Linked DNA regions of Saccharomyces cerevisiae S288C. The gene in region 3 interacts genetically with the main gene of each other region. Each region holds a gene or a part of one and is shown on either strand. Other genes may lie near its edges.

The links. A genetic interaction does not mean that the proteins touch.
Region 1: mutations in XRS2 (region 3) and PDC1 together harm fitness more than expected from each alone (negative genetic interaction), as found in Saccharomyces cerevisiae (2 studies listed by BioGRID).
Region 2: mutations in XRS2 (region 3) and SKN7 together harm fitness more than expected from each alone (negative genetic interaction), as found in Saccharomyces cerevisiae (3 studies listed by BioGRID, with this or other methods).

What each region holds. Positions count from the first base shown.
Region 1 is NC_001144.5:231,614-235,905, forward strand, and holds PDC1 (indolepyruvate decarboxylase 1), read right to left. Parts: upstream 2,469-4,292; coding exon 777-2,468; downstream 1-776. Other genes in the region: thioredoxin TRX1, read right to left, coding at 89-400; STU2 (Stu2p), read right to left, coding at 3,424-4,292. UniProt on the Saccharomyces cerevisiae protein: Major of three pyruvate decarboxylases (PDC1, PDC5, PDC6) implicated in the nonoxidative conversion of pyruvate to acetaldehyde and carbon dioxide during alcoholic fermentation.
Region 2 is NC_001140.6:510,992-515,376, forward strand, and holds SKN7 (kinase-regulated stress-responsive transcription factor SKN7), read left to right. Parts: upstream 1-1,740; coding exon 1,741-3,609; downstream 3,610-4,385. Other genes in the region: serine/threonine protein kinase SCH9, read left to right, coding at 1-846; SET5 (S-adenosylmethionine-dependent methyltransferase), read right to left, coding at 3,914-4,385. UniProt on the Saccharomyces cerevisiae protein: Transcription factor that is part of a SLN1-YPD1-SKN7 two-component regulatory system, which controls gene expression in response to changes in the osmolarity of the extracellular environment.
Region 3 is NC_001136.10:1,214,245-1,219,665, reverse strand, and holds XRS2 (Xrs2p), read left to right. Parts: upstream 1-2,085; coding exon 2,086-4,650; downstream 4,651-5,421. Other genes in the region: CTS2 (putative chitinase), read right to left, coding at 1-253; DXO1 (Dxo1p), read left to right, coding at 556-1,884; trifunctional aldehyde reductase/carbonyl reductase (NADPH)/glucose 1-dehydrogenase (NADP(+)) YPR1, read right to left, coding at 4,824-5,421. UniProt on the Saccharomyces cerevisiae protein: Component of the MRN complex, which plays a central role in double-strand break (DSB) repair, DNA recombination, maintenance of telomere integrity and meiosis.

The sequences.
Region 1 (4,292 bases), on a different chromosome or scaffold from region 3:
TATATAATTCTGTTTTTTTGTCTAAAAAAGGTAAACTATATATAACAAACACAGTATAGAAACACAATATATCGGTCATTGGGTGAGTTTAAGCATTAGCAGCAATGGCTTGCTTAATAGCCGCTGGGTTGGCACCAACAACCTTTGCAACTTCCTTACCGTTCTTGAATAGAAGCAAAGTTGGCATAGCGGAAACTTCATTCTTTTGTGCAACATCACCCAATTCATCGACATCCAATTTATAGAAATCAGCTTGTGGGTATTGTTCAGAGAATTTTTCAATCATTGGAGCAATCATTTTACATGGACCGCACCAAGTGGCGTAGAAATCTACGACAACTAGCTTGTCTTGAGCAATTGCAGAGTCGAATTCGCTGGCAGTTTTGAATTGAGTAACCATTATTTGTATCGAGGTGTCTAGTCTTCTATTACACTAATGCAGTTTCAGGGTTTTGGAAACCACACTGTTTAAACAGTGTTCCTTAATCAAGGATACCTCTTTTTTTTTCCTTGGTTCCACTAATTCATCGGTTTTTTTTTTGGAAGACATCTTTTCCAACGAAAAGAATATACATATCGTTTAAGAGAAATTCTCCAAATTTGTAAAGAAGCGGACCCAGACTTAAGCCTAACCAGGCCAATTCAACAGACTGTCGGCAACTTCTTGTCTGGTCTTTCCATGGTAAGTGACAGTGCAGTAATAATATGAACCAATTTATTTTTCGTTACATAAAAATGCTTATAAAACTTTAACTAATAATTAGAGATTAAATCGCTTATTGCTTAGCGTTGGTAGCAGCAGTCAACTTAGCTTGTTCAACCAAGTTTTGTGGAGCATCGAAGACTGGCAACATGATTTCAATCATTCTGATCTTAGAGTTGTCGTTGAAAGACTTGTCTTGGGTCAACTTGTCCCATTCACCGGTGGTAGCGACTCTGTGGGTTTCATAGTCCTTAGCACCGAAAGTTGGCAACAAGGATAGGTGGTCCCAACCTTGAATTTCGTTGTATTGAGCCTTTGGACCGTGAATCAACTTTTCAATGGTGTAACCATCGTTGTTCAAGACGAACAAGTATGGCTTCAAGCCCCATCTGATCATGGTGGAGATTTCTTGAACAGTCAATTGCAAAGAACCGTCACCAATGAATAAGATAACTCTCTTCTTTGGATCAATTTCTTCAGCAGCGAAAGCAGCACCCAAGGTAGCACCAGTGGTGAAACCAATGGAACCCCATAAGACTTGAGAGATACCGTAGGTGTTGTTTGGGAAAGTGGTTTGGTTGATACCGAAAGCGGAGGTACCGGTTTCAGCAATGACAACATCACCTTCTTGCAAGAAGTTACCCAATTGGTTCCACATCCATTCTTGCTTCAATGGGGTAGAAGCTGGGACAGCAGCGTTAGCTGGAGTTCTAGCTGGGACAGCAACTGGCTTGTAACCCTTAGCGGCGTCAGCAATAGTGGTCAACAACTTTTGCAAAACGAATTTCATTTGGACACCTGGGAAAGTGGCGTTTCTGATCTTCATGTGGTCGGAGTGGAATTCGACAATGTTCTTGGTCTTGTAAGAGTAAGAGAAAGAACCGGTGTTGAAATCAGACAACAAAGCACCGACAGACAAAATCAAGTCAGCAGATTCAACGGCTTCCTTAACTTCTGGCTTGGACAAGGTACCGACGTAAACACCACCGTATCTTGGGTGTTGTTCGTCAATGGAACCCTTACCCATTGGGGTGACGAAAGCTGGGAATTGAGTCAAGTCAATCAACTTCTTAGTTTCAGCCTTGACGTCGTGTCTGGAACAACAAGCATCAGCCAAGATAACTGGGTTCTTAGCATCCTTGACCAAAGCCAAGATGGTGTCAATGACTTCCTTTTCGGATTCAGCATCGTTTGGCTTCAAAGACATGTCAATTGGAGTTTGCAACAACTTAGCTGGGACGTTCAAGTCGACCAAGTTAGCTGGCAAACCTAAGTAGACTGGTCTTTGGGTGACGTAAGTGGTTCTGATACATCTGTCAATTTCAGCTGGGGCGGTAGCAATGTCAGTGATCATAGCAGTGGTTTCAGAAATGTTGGCAGACATTCTGTGGAAAACAGTGAAGTCACCGTTACCCAAGGTGTGGTGCAACAACAATTGCTTAGCTTGAGCAGAGATGGATGGGACACCAACAACGTGCAAAACACCGACGTGTTCAGCGTAAGAACCGGCAATACCGTTCAAAGCAGACAATTCACCGACACCGAAGGTGGTGATGATACAAGACATACCCTTGATACGAGCGTAACCATCAGCGGCGTAAGCAGCGTTCAATTCGTTGGCGTTACCAGCCCATCTCATACCTTCAACTTCGTAGATCTTGTCCAACAAGGACAAGTTGAAGTCACCTGGCAAACCGAAAACGGTGTTAACGTTGACTTGCTTTAATCTTTCGAACAAATATTTACCCAAAGTAATTTCAGACATTTTGATTGATTTGACTGTGTTATTTTGCGTGAGGTTATGAGTAGAAAATAATAATTGAGAAAGGAATATGACAAGAAATATGAAAATAAAGGGAACAAACCCAAATCTGATTGCAAGGAGAGTGAAAGAGCCTTGTTTATATATTTTTTTTTCCTATGTTCAACGAGGACAGCTAGGTTTATGCAAAAATGTGCCATCACCATAAGCTGATTCAAATGAGCTAAAAAAAAAATAGTTAGAAAATAAGGTGGTGTTGAACGATAGCAAGTAGATCAAGACACCGTCTAACAGAAAAAGGGGCAGCGGACAATATTATGCAATTATGAAGAAAAGTACTCAAAGGGTCGGAAAAATATTCAAACGATATTTGCATAAAATCCTCAATTGATTGATTATTCCATAGTAAAATACCGTAACAACACAAAATTGTTCTCAAATTCATAAATTATTCATTTTTTCCACGAGCCTCATCACACGAAAAGTCAGAAGAGCATACATAATCTTTTAAATGCATAGGTTATGCATTTTGCAAATGCCACCAGGCAACAAAAATATGCGTTTAGCGGGCGGAATCGGGAAGGAAGCCGGAACCACCAAAAACTGGAAGCTACGTTTTTAAGGAAGGTATGGGTGCAGTGTGCTTATCTCAAGAAATATTAGTTATGATATAAGGTGTTGAAGTTTAGAGATAGGTAAATAAACGCGGGGTGTGTTTATTACATGAAGAAGAAGTTAGTTTCTGCCTTGCTTGTTTATCTTGCACATCACATCAGCGGAACATATGCTCACCCAGTCGCATGTTGTTACCCTCATGAAACATGTATGAGATATTACTTTGAATAGGTTACTTGCATGCATTTCGGCGTGCGGGTACCACCTCTTTGCATGAGCTTGTTCCTTTTTCAAGTTGAAGACTATATATTTTATTGAGTTTATGTTATGGGGAGGCTACCCTTTACGTCCTGGTTGTCCCTTCCCGCCTTGATTTGGCCTTCATTTTTTCAATTCTGGCCTTTAGGGTAGATGTCACTGCAGCGGCACGTTTATAACTTTCTTCTGAGGCAAAACTATCGTTGAAATCGATATCCAAATCGTCGGAGACACTGCTCACTCCAGTGCCGTTTTTTCTGTACGGCCGTATGTTAAGAGAGTTTACGCGGTGCGGCAGGTCGCCGATGGACTCGCTTGATCTTCTTTCATAGTTGACGTCCTCTTTCCTTCTGACATCTTCCTCCTCCTTAAATGGCAAAGCGGAAGATAAAGATTTTACCCCATAGTTGCTTGACACGGTGGAAGAAGGTATGGAGTATGATGAAATCGTACCCATCGATTGCAAGTTTGTATCATTTCTTTTCTTATTTCTATCCAATTCGATCTCCATGTTTCTAAGCTCGTTTTCTAGTGACAGTACTCTATCAGACAGCTTATTGACATCAATCTCCTTGGATCTTAATTGAATGTTCTTTTCGTTCAATTTAGACTGCGCTTCCTTTAGTTGCTCTCTTAGCATTTCGTTTTCTTTAATCATTTCGATCTTATAATTTTCTGTATTATTCATCTTTTCCAATAGGCTTTGTCTTTCTTTGGTCCATATCATCTCATCATTTTGTAGTTTTTGCAGTCTGTACTTGTATTCTTCAATCAACTTTTCATTCTTGTCAGTGCTATTAGCTACTACGTTTTTTGGCGTTGCCAAAGACTTAGACGTCAACAGGACCCTCGATTTATTGTTAGCAGCTACCATTGATGGTTTTGATGCGGAGGCTACTGACCCTATTGGGTTCACTTTACTTTTGTTATCATTTCTCAGCGGTGAAGATGCCA
Region 2 (4,385 bases), on a different chromosome or scaffold from region 3:
ATTCTACTCGATGCCAACGGTAACATCGCTCTTTGCGATTTTGGTCTTTCTAAAGCTGACTTGAAGGATAGAACAAACACATTTTGCGGCACCACGGAATACCTGGCACCAGAATTGTTACTGGACGAAACCGGCTACACCAAAATGGTCGATTTCTGGTCTCTAGGTGTTTTGATATTTGAAATGTGTTGTGGTTGGTCCCCTTTCTTTGCGGAAAATAATCAAAAAATGTACCAAAAAATTGCCTTTGGTAAAGTCAAATTCCCCAGAGACGTACTGTCACAAGAGGGGAGGTCTTTTGTAAAGGGTTTACTAAACAGAAACCCCAAACATAGACTCGGTGCCATTGATGATGGAAGAGAACTACGAGCTCATCCATTTTTCGCAGATATCGACTGGGAGGCCTTGAAGCAGAAAAAAATTCCACCACCTTTCAAACCTCACCTAGTCTCGGAGACGGATACCTCGAATTTTGACCCAGAGTTCACAACAGCTTCAACTTCATACATGAACAAGCACCAGCCGATGATGACTGCTACCCCGCTATCTCCAGCCATGCAAGCAAAGTTTGCTGGTTTCACCTTTGTTGATGAGTCCGCCATCGATGAACACGTTAATAACAACAGAAAATTCCTACAAAACTCGTACTTTATGGAACCTGGTTCCTTTATCCCGGGAAATCCAAACTTACCTCCAGACGAAGATGTCATCGATGATGACGGGGACGAGGACATCAATGATGGATTCAACCAAGAGAAAAATATGAACAACAGCCATTCGCAGATGGACTTCGACGGCGACCAACACATGGATGACGAATTTGTCAGTGGAAGATTCGAAATATGATTTCTCAATCGCTCCTCTTGCCCTTCCTCTTCTTTTCCTTTTCTTTTTATTTTTTTCTAATTTTTCTATCTTTTATTTCTACTTCTATTATTAATTTGTATCTTCTAATCGTTTTTCCCACTTTATCGAAACATTTCTTCTATTTATATATGTAAAGTATGTATGTATTTTCGTTTTATTTAAACTCCAAAAAATGAATAATTGTTCCTGCAAATTTCTAGTTTATCACGTCTCATAATCACTGCTTATACCTCACCATTCCATTGTACTTTGACATATTTACCCCTCATCTATATATAATCAGGGCTTAAGTAAACGCTTCGCTGTGATTTCCCAAAGTCGGTTCGGAAATTATAGGTCGGTTATATCATCCGAAAAAAAAAAAAAAAAAGTTTTTCTTAAATGCATAGGTTTAAAGTCGATTAAAAGTAGGGCTAACACAAGTATAAGCAGGGTTTTGCTATAATAGGGATGCCATAAGTGAGGGCAGGGCTCATCGATGCGCGTACATGGATTTTCCGAAATTCTGAATTTTTTCTTTCTTTAACTATGAGCAAAATGTGGTCAGCTTTACTGAGCTTAACTGTCATCCCATCGAATGTGACAAGATTGAAAGTGCTTCCAGGATCTGAAACATTTGTCAAAGTTTTACTAACATTACACAGATATCCCTGGTCACCTTACTATCTTCCAACATCTTACCTAGGCTTGCTGCTTTTGTTTGGGTCATATATTTAACTCGCTCATTAGAGGACATTCTGTTTTTTCCAAGACCAACAAAAAAGCAACGAAATTGCTGTATTATTAAAGGACTGTTATAGAAGTTTTTTTATCCTCTCTTTGTTTCCATTATTCTTATTCCTATTTTTTCGTTGCTTACTTTTGATATCCACTATGAGCTTTTCCACCATAAATAGCAACGTCAATAAAACCACCGGCGATAGCAATAATAACACCACCGAGAACAGTTCGACTGCAGACCTTTTAGGAATGGACTTGTTGCAGAGCGGGCCTCGACTGATGAACACGATGCAGCCAAACAACTCTTCTGACATGCTGCACATTAACAACAAGACTAATAACGTTCAACAACCAGCTGGAAACACAAATATCAGCAGTGCTAATGCGGGAGCAAAGGCTCCAGCAAATGAGTTCGTAAGAAAACTGTTCAGGATACTGGAAAACAATGAATATCCTGACATTGTAACTTGGACTGAGAACGGCAAAAGTTTCGTCGTTTTGGACACAGGAAAGTTCACTACGCATATATTGCCTAATCACTTCAAACATTCAAATTTTGCATCTTTTGTAAGGCAACTAAACAAGTATGACTTTCACAAGGTTAAGAGAAGTCCCGAGGAAAGACAGAGATGTAAATATGGCGAACAAAGTTGGGAGTTTCAGCATCCAGAATTTAGAGTCCATTACGGAAAAGGTCTCGATAACATCAAAAGGAAAATTCCGGCGCAAAGGAAAGTGCTTTTGGATGAATCTCAAAAGGCTCTTTTGCATTTCAATAGTGAAGGCACTAACCCCAACAATCCTTCTGGGTCTCTTTTGAATGAATCCACCACAGAGCTGTTGTTAAGCAATACCGTAAGTAAAGATGCATTTGGAAATCTAAGAAGGCGAGTAGACAAACTACAAAAGGAGTTGGATATGTCCAAAATGGAGAGTTATGCTACTAAAGTAGAACTACAAAAGTTGAACTCGAAATACAATACGGTTATCGAAAGTTTGATAACATTCAAGACCATAAATGAAAATTTACTCAACAACTTCAACACTCTGTGTTCCACTTTGGCAAATAATGGTATTGAAGTGCCAATATTTGGCGACAATGGAAACCGTAACCCAACTGGTAATACCAACCCAGCAACAACAACAGCTATCCAAAGCAACAACAACACCAACAATGCTTCTCCGGCAACATCTACAGTTTCCTTACAACTACCTAATTTACCCGATCAGAATAGCCTAACACCAAATGCTCAAAATAACACAGTCACGCTACGAAAAGGTTTCCATGTACTGTTGGTGGAAGATGACGCAGTGTCTATACAGTTGTGTTCAAAATTTTTACGGAAATATGGCTGTACTGTCCAAGTTGTCAGCGACGGTCTTTCAGCTATCTCAACACTAGAGAAGTATAGGTATGATTTGGTTTTAATGGACATTGTTATGCCAAACCTAGATGGTGCCACAGCGACATCCATTGTCAGAAGTTTTGATAATGAGACTCCCATCATTGCCATGACAGGTAACATTATGAATCAAGACTTGATCACATACTTACAACATGGAATGAATGATATCTTGGCCAAACCATTCACGAGGGATGATTTACACTCAATTTTAATACGTTATCTAAAGGACCGTATTCCTTTATGCGAACAGCAATTACCACCTCGCAACTCTTCGCCACAAACTCATTCCAACACCAATACTGCTAATTCGAATCCTAATACGATTAATGAACAGTCGTTAGCCATGTTACCACAAGATAATCCGTCAACTACTACCCCTGTTACCCCAGGTGCCTCTATATCTTCTGCACAGCATGTTCAACAAGGTCAACAAGAACAGCAGCATCAAATTTTCCATGCTCAGCAGCAGCAGCAGCATCACAACGCCATTGCTAATGCTAGGTCAGACGTAGCCATACCGAATTTGGAACATGAAATCAACACTGTACCACATTCCTCAATGGGTTCCACTCCGCAATTACCACAATCTACACTTCAAGAAAACCAGCTATCATAAAATTTTACAAATAGCCTTGCGTCTAAGTTAGCAGAGGACATTCTGTATTCCTGAGGAGTTTCTTTATATTTATTATGTGATCTTGGAGGATTATCATTTTCTTTTCGTTCAATATTTTATCCCCTTCAGTTATTTCCAGTTATCTACATCAAAATGTTTGAATTTTATTTCTTTCTGCCGCTCTCAAATTCACTCTCATTTCTTTTTTCTTTGTTTTTCTTATATTTACTATATATATATATATATATATATATATATAGCCAAAAACAATAACAGACACAGTAATTTAGTATGCGTTTATCTCTTATCTTTCATCCACTGCGACCGAAACGTTTGAATCGAATCTGACTGAGGTTTTTCTTACATTCCCTTGTGTATCAACAGTTTCTGGTATGTCTAATTCAAATTCTTTTCCATTCTTCAGTATTTCTTTTAAATCTGGCTGGGCCTCTCTCATGGAAGATTTACGATTACCAGTTGATTTCTTAGAGCCATCTTCACTACTATCATTGGAATCTATTTTTTCTACTCCTAAATTAGCATCCGCATTCTTTTTCTCTAGATTTGGAACTCTTTCAAATGTAGATAGTTCATTTTGACAGCGGTCACACTGGCATAAGAAGCCCCAGTTAACTCTTAATTCCCTACGCCTCAACCTCACCCCATGTAAGGGATTGACGTACGTAATACGTATTTGTTCCCCCTTCTTTATTGGTTTCCTTGCATGCAACCTCAGTTCCTCATGTTCTTCTACTTGCTCAATATAGGCGTTTGGT
Region 3 (5,421 bases):
ATGGGGACCAATTGGAATAATAGACCCCTGATATAAAGGCTTCGTCTCTTATATGGGTTCCATGATTTTGGACATTACTGGGAACTCGATGTCCGCCATTGTTAAAGTTGTCTCTAATATCATCCGACCTTTGGTTCTTAAAAATTTTATTATATAAACACATTTCAATAATAATCGTTATAAAGATAAGTAGTATTAGTAGGTGAGACACTAAGCTGCTTTTTGATCTGTGCTGAGCTGAGTGTCCTACCATATGATCACTCTTGTATCGTCTACTTATAGAGGTTGTTAGTACCAACCTGCAAATACAATTGTTGGACCATACTACCACAAAAGGTTCTTTTCGTTGGTGTATCCTCACAAATAATGATTATTCCACCAAAATCACCAAATTATTGTGTCAAACTAACTGGGATTACCCCACTATTGATTTTTCCAGTTTTTCCGCAATTTTCGCAGCATGTTTTACTTTTATAATGGCATTGTTGCATTACAGCGCCAGTTGTAGGTATCGATGATTTTATGTCAAAGTTTTCTTTCTAGCCAAACTCAGTTATGTCAACTGAACAAGATGCTGTTCTTGGATTGGCCAAAGATTTAGAAGGTATAAATTTGCTTACTGTGCCCAATCTCGAGAGAGGACACCAAAGTAAATTATGCAAAGAGAAAACTACTTCTGATTCATCTTCGTCAAGGAAGCCTTCACAACAGAGAGACAATTATAGAAAGAGACGTCCGAAACTTATATGTATCCCATATACGTCTTTTCTGCATACTGGTATGCACAATTTTTTGACGAAACCACCAAGAGATATATTTCATGAAAGTAAAGAAGTAGCTCTGTTTACCAATGGCCGGGCTTATACAATCCTACGCAAAGACCTTATACCAAATTTGAAAGAAAGTATTGCTGAATTGTATGAAAGCTCGCTTCTTGAGGCAAAAAAGCGGAAAGTCCCGTATTTAGGCCATGACTTATTTGCTAATATTGATGAGTTCGTTCCCATGACAATATCCGAATTAGATAGTGTATCACCGTGTTTTTCATACATTGAGAACTGGATACTAGATAATCCTGGTAAGGATTTTAAGATCGGCAAGAAATTTACTGTTGTAACCACAAGACATCATATCGTAGATTTGACTATGCATCTCTTTAACAGGCGAAATAGACAAACGTCACTAATTGTAACTTATATGGGGGCGGGCCTTCTTTCATTTTGCAGAAATGTAAAAAAAGATTCTCAAATGTCCAAAGAGGGCATTTATTCAAATGATCCAAATATGAAGAAAATTTGCTATTCAGGATTTGAATTTGAAAATTGGGTAACCGAAAATTCCAAAGTCGCTGATTTAACTGGCTCTAAATGTCCTATTTTTTCTCTTGTAGAGAGTAAACTTTCAGAAGAAATTGGTCTTTTAATTCGCTGCGAAATGGATGCATTCAATCCTGTTTCGGAGACAAACACAGAACTAAAGTGTTTTGCCCCATTATCAATGCACAATTCCAATCATAGGAGAAAACTTCTGAAAACGTGGGTACAGACGGGTTTATTACCGAACTCAGATATCATGATAGGTTTGAGGGACAGTCATAGCGGTCAATTACTAGACATTCAATGGTACTCAAGGGACTTATTATGTAAGAAATTCAATCACCCAGGTCTACCTACAAATAAAAAGGAACTTAACTATAATGCCCAAATTGCGGTAGAATGGTGTCATTATTGTATTGAAGCAATTTGTAAGCTGGTGGAGGCAAATATCTCTGACTATAGCAGTACAAAACCAGAATCATTTGAAATCGGTATAGATACTAACAACGCCATCGTCATCACTAAACTTAAGACTACTCCAAGAAACGTAGAATTATTTGGAATGTAGAGACGTGTATAATATATAATACTTTTCCGAGAAATATTTCATTTTCATTTTCGTAAAGTTGTTAACTACGCTAAATATTAGTACTTTTCTTAAATTTATATGGGGAGCCCTTTTTTTCTATGAAAAGCAATGCGTAAACCAAATAAGCAGAATTTTGTAATAGATGAGCAACAATACTGAGAAGGTGATAACTATAAATTTATGTGGGTAGTACGATACCAGAATACATTGGAAGATGGCTCTATTAGCTTTATATCATGTTGTCTTCAGGCCTTCAAAACTTATAGTATAGGTAGATCAAGTAAAAACCCACTGATAATTAAAAATGATAAAAGTATTTCCAGACAGCATATCACATTCAAATGGGAAATCAATAATAGTTCGGATCTGAAACACAGTAGCCTGTGTTTAGTTAACAAGGGTAAATTGACATCATTAAATAAAAAATTCATGAAAGTTGGCGAAACATTTACTATTAATGCCTCGGACGTTTTAAAGTCCACAATAATTGAACTGGGTACAACTCCTATTCGTATAGAGTTCGAATGGATAAATGAAGTCTGGAACATTCCTCCTCATTTGACACAATTCAGGACGATGCTTTCTGAATATGGTATCTCCACTGAGATTTCTATTAATGATATTCCCGCTAATCTGATGATTAGCGATTACCCAAAGAGCGAGGACAACAGCATACGGGAATTGTATGCCCTTGTTAGTACTATACCCATGAAAAAATCACGGTTTCTGATGGAATTGTGTAATACTCTTCTTCCCACATCTAAAACTAATTTAAAATTTGATGAAATGTGGAACGATATGATTAGTAATCCGGAGTACAATGTTTTTGATTTTGATCCAAATATTTTGCTTTCGAAGTTTATGAGGCTGAATAATATCAGAGTGTTAACTACTATCAAAAGTGAACCACGTCTATCATCTCTCCTGCGGACGTTCAATATAAATTTATTTGCATTTGACAACATTGATAGTTTATATAAATATGTTGACAGCTTGGAAGCATCAACAGAATACCTGATTTTGACAACTACAGATAAGAAAGAAAATGGGAAAATTCTATGTACTATCAAAACGATGTTAACATCAATAATAGATGGCACCTTAAGCGCAGTGATTAATATGAAGGGTGCATCTTCAAGAACTCTAGATAACGGTAAATTTGATCAAATTTCTGAAGGAATGTCTACTATTTTGAAAACATCTCGTGCACCTGAAGTTGAAGCTAGTCCAGTAGTCTCGAAGAAGCGAAAATTAAATAGACGTAGAGTACTACCACTCGATAGTCTTGATTTTTTTGCTGGAGGTTTGAGTACTAAGACTCTATCAGAAAATAGGTCTTTAACTGACGCTAAGAGACTTAATTGTGGCGCAGAATCAAAGACTGTCATTTCAAGTCCCAACATTGCAGAGGCAGATGAAAAGCACGCCCCATTTCTTCAAAACGCACTAAAGCCGACTGAAGATATTGGAAAGAAAAGTGGTCACAGTAGCCCTGGTGCTATAATTGTCAGTAGCCCCAACTTAGGTACTGTGAACACGAGTGAGGATTCGTTGGATAAGTCGCTACAGTCACATAAGTTACCACAGCCGTCATTGCCGGAGGTAGCAGGGATTGGCTCTCAAACCATATCTTCGAACTCCGCTGACTATGAAACAGCTGCTGTGAATTCGATGGATGATGCTGAAGTTACTAAGAATTTTAGGGTGAATCATCACCAGAATATAGAGCAACCCTCTAAAAACATCCGTAAACTTTCTAATTATTCACGAGAAATTTCATCTCCATTACAAGAAAATTGTAAGTCACCTGTAAAAGAGTTATCTATTAAAGAGAAATCTGGTACGCCGCACGCATTTGTTGAAGCTATTCAAGAAACTAAAAATAGAGAGGTCAAAAGAGTTAAGTCAACCATTGTTGAATTGAAGGATGAGGAGTTGAGCGAGGAAGCTATTAATCAGCTAAAAAATTTGGCTATTGTAGAACCTAGTAACAATTTACTGAGGAAATCATTTGATAGTGAGGGAAACAAAACAAGCAGAACAACTGAAAAATGGGAAAATAGCCTAATGGAGCCAGAATGGCATAAACGCAAGAATTTCAAGACTTTTGTCAAGGTACGTCCAAAATCAAAGGCGCACAAAGAAGAGGGTAAAAATAACACTCAAAGCTCAGATTTTATACGAAATGCAGCCTTTTTAATCACTAGAAATTATGTTCCGTTAAAAAAATACTCCAAAAAGGATACAACTACAAAATGGGGCACAGAAGAAAACGAAGATATGTTTGCTTTGACGGAGATGGAAAGATTTGGATCGAATACATTTATGTCCGATAATATAAACTCAAACACTATCCAGAAAAGATCTCAAGCTCTAAACAGATTCACGAATGAGGATAGTTCAAATGAAGGAGAAGAAGATTCGTTTTCTTTTTCTCGTTGTTCAGGTACTGCAGCCAGCGTTCAACCACTAAAAAACAAAATTTTTATTACTGATGAAGATGATCTGGGTGATATTGATGATAAAAGCGATAGACTAAATCACAGAGAAAATAATCGTAATCTTTTTGTGGTGAAGGAAATGAACTTACGGCCAAACTTGTCAGAAGAATGTTCCAAGCAAAGTAGACACAGTAGAAGCGCAACTAGTAGATCACGTGGCTCTTTTGGGGCTTCTAATAACGGTGATGGCGACGACGACGATGACGACGGTCCGAAGTTTACGTTCAAAAGAAGAAAAGGATAATGATAAATTTTCCGAGTATTTCCAATTTCATTAAATTATATTTTGCATTATCATTCGATATATGTGTATATATTATATGAAAATTAGTAAAATCAATGTTTGTTTCAGCTGTATCGGATCGGTTTAAAGAAGCACTACAGGTTGCTGGAGGCATTAACTGTAATGTAGCGCGCTCATTGGAAAATTGGGAAGGATCCCCACTTCATATCAACGACTCTCTTTGTACCATGCACTTTGGATAGGTTACTAATAGTCTTGAAATCATCCTCAGGCAGAGTGAAAATCTTAAAATTGGATACAATTCTTTCAGGATTAACCGATTTGGCCAGAACAACGTAGCCTCTTTGAATACTCCAACTGATAATAAGCTGTGCTGGCTCAACGCCGTGCTTTTTAGCCATATCAATAATTGCTTGCTCTTTTAGTAAAGGAGCATTAGCACTCCCAAATGGTGAGTAGGCTTCAACAACAATACCCTTTTCCTTACAAAAGGCAATCAATTCGTCTTGTGGTAGCAATGGATGAATTTCAATTTGATTAGTAGCTGGTACCACCTTGTTATTTGGAGATTCTAATAATTCTTTAATGTTGTTAATAGAAAAATTAGAGACACCAACGGCTTTAGTTTTGCCCGTCTTTGGCAACTCTTGCATCAACTCCCACGTCTTGATAAAATTCCATTCCTTAGTATCGATGTCAACAGTGCCATCTTCTAATGTTGGAATGCACAGAACGTTACCATCAGTAACTCTGTCGGTTTTCAAAGGCACT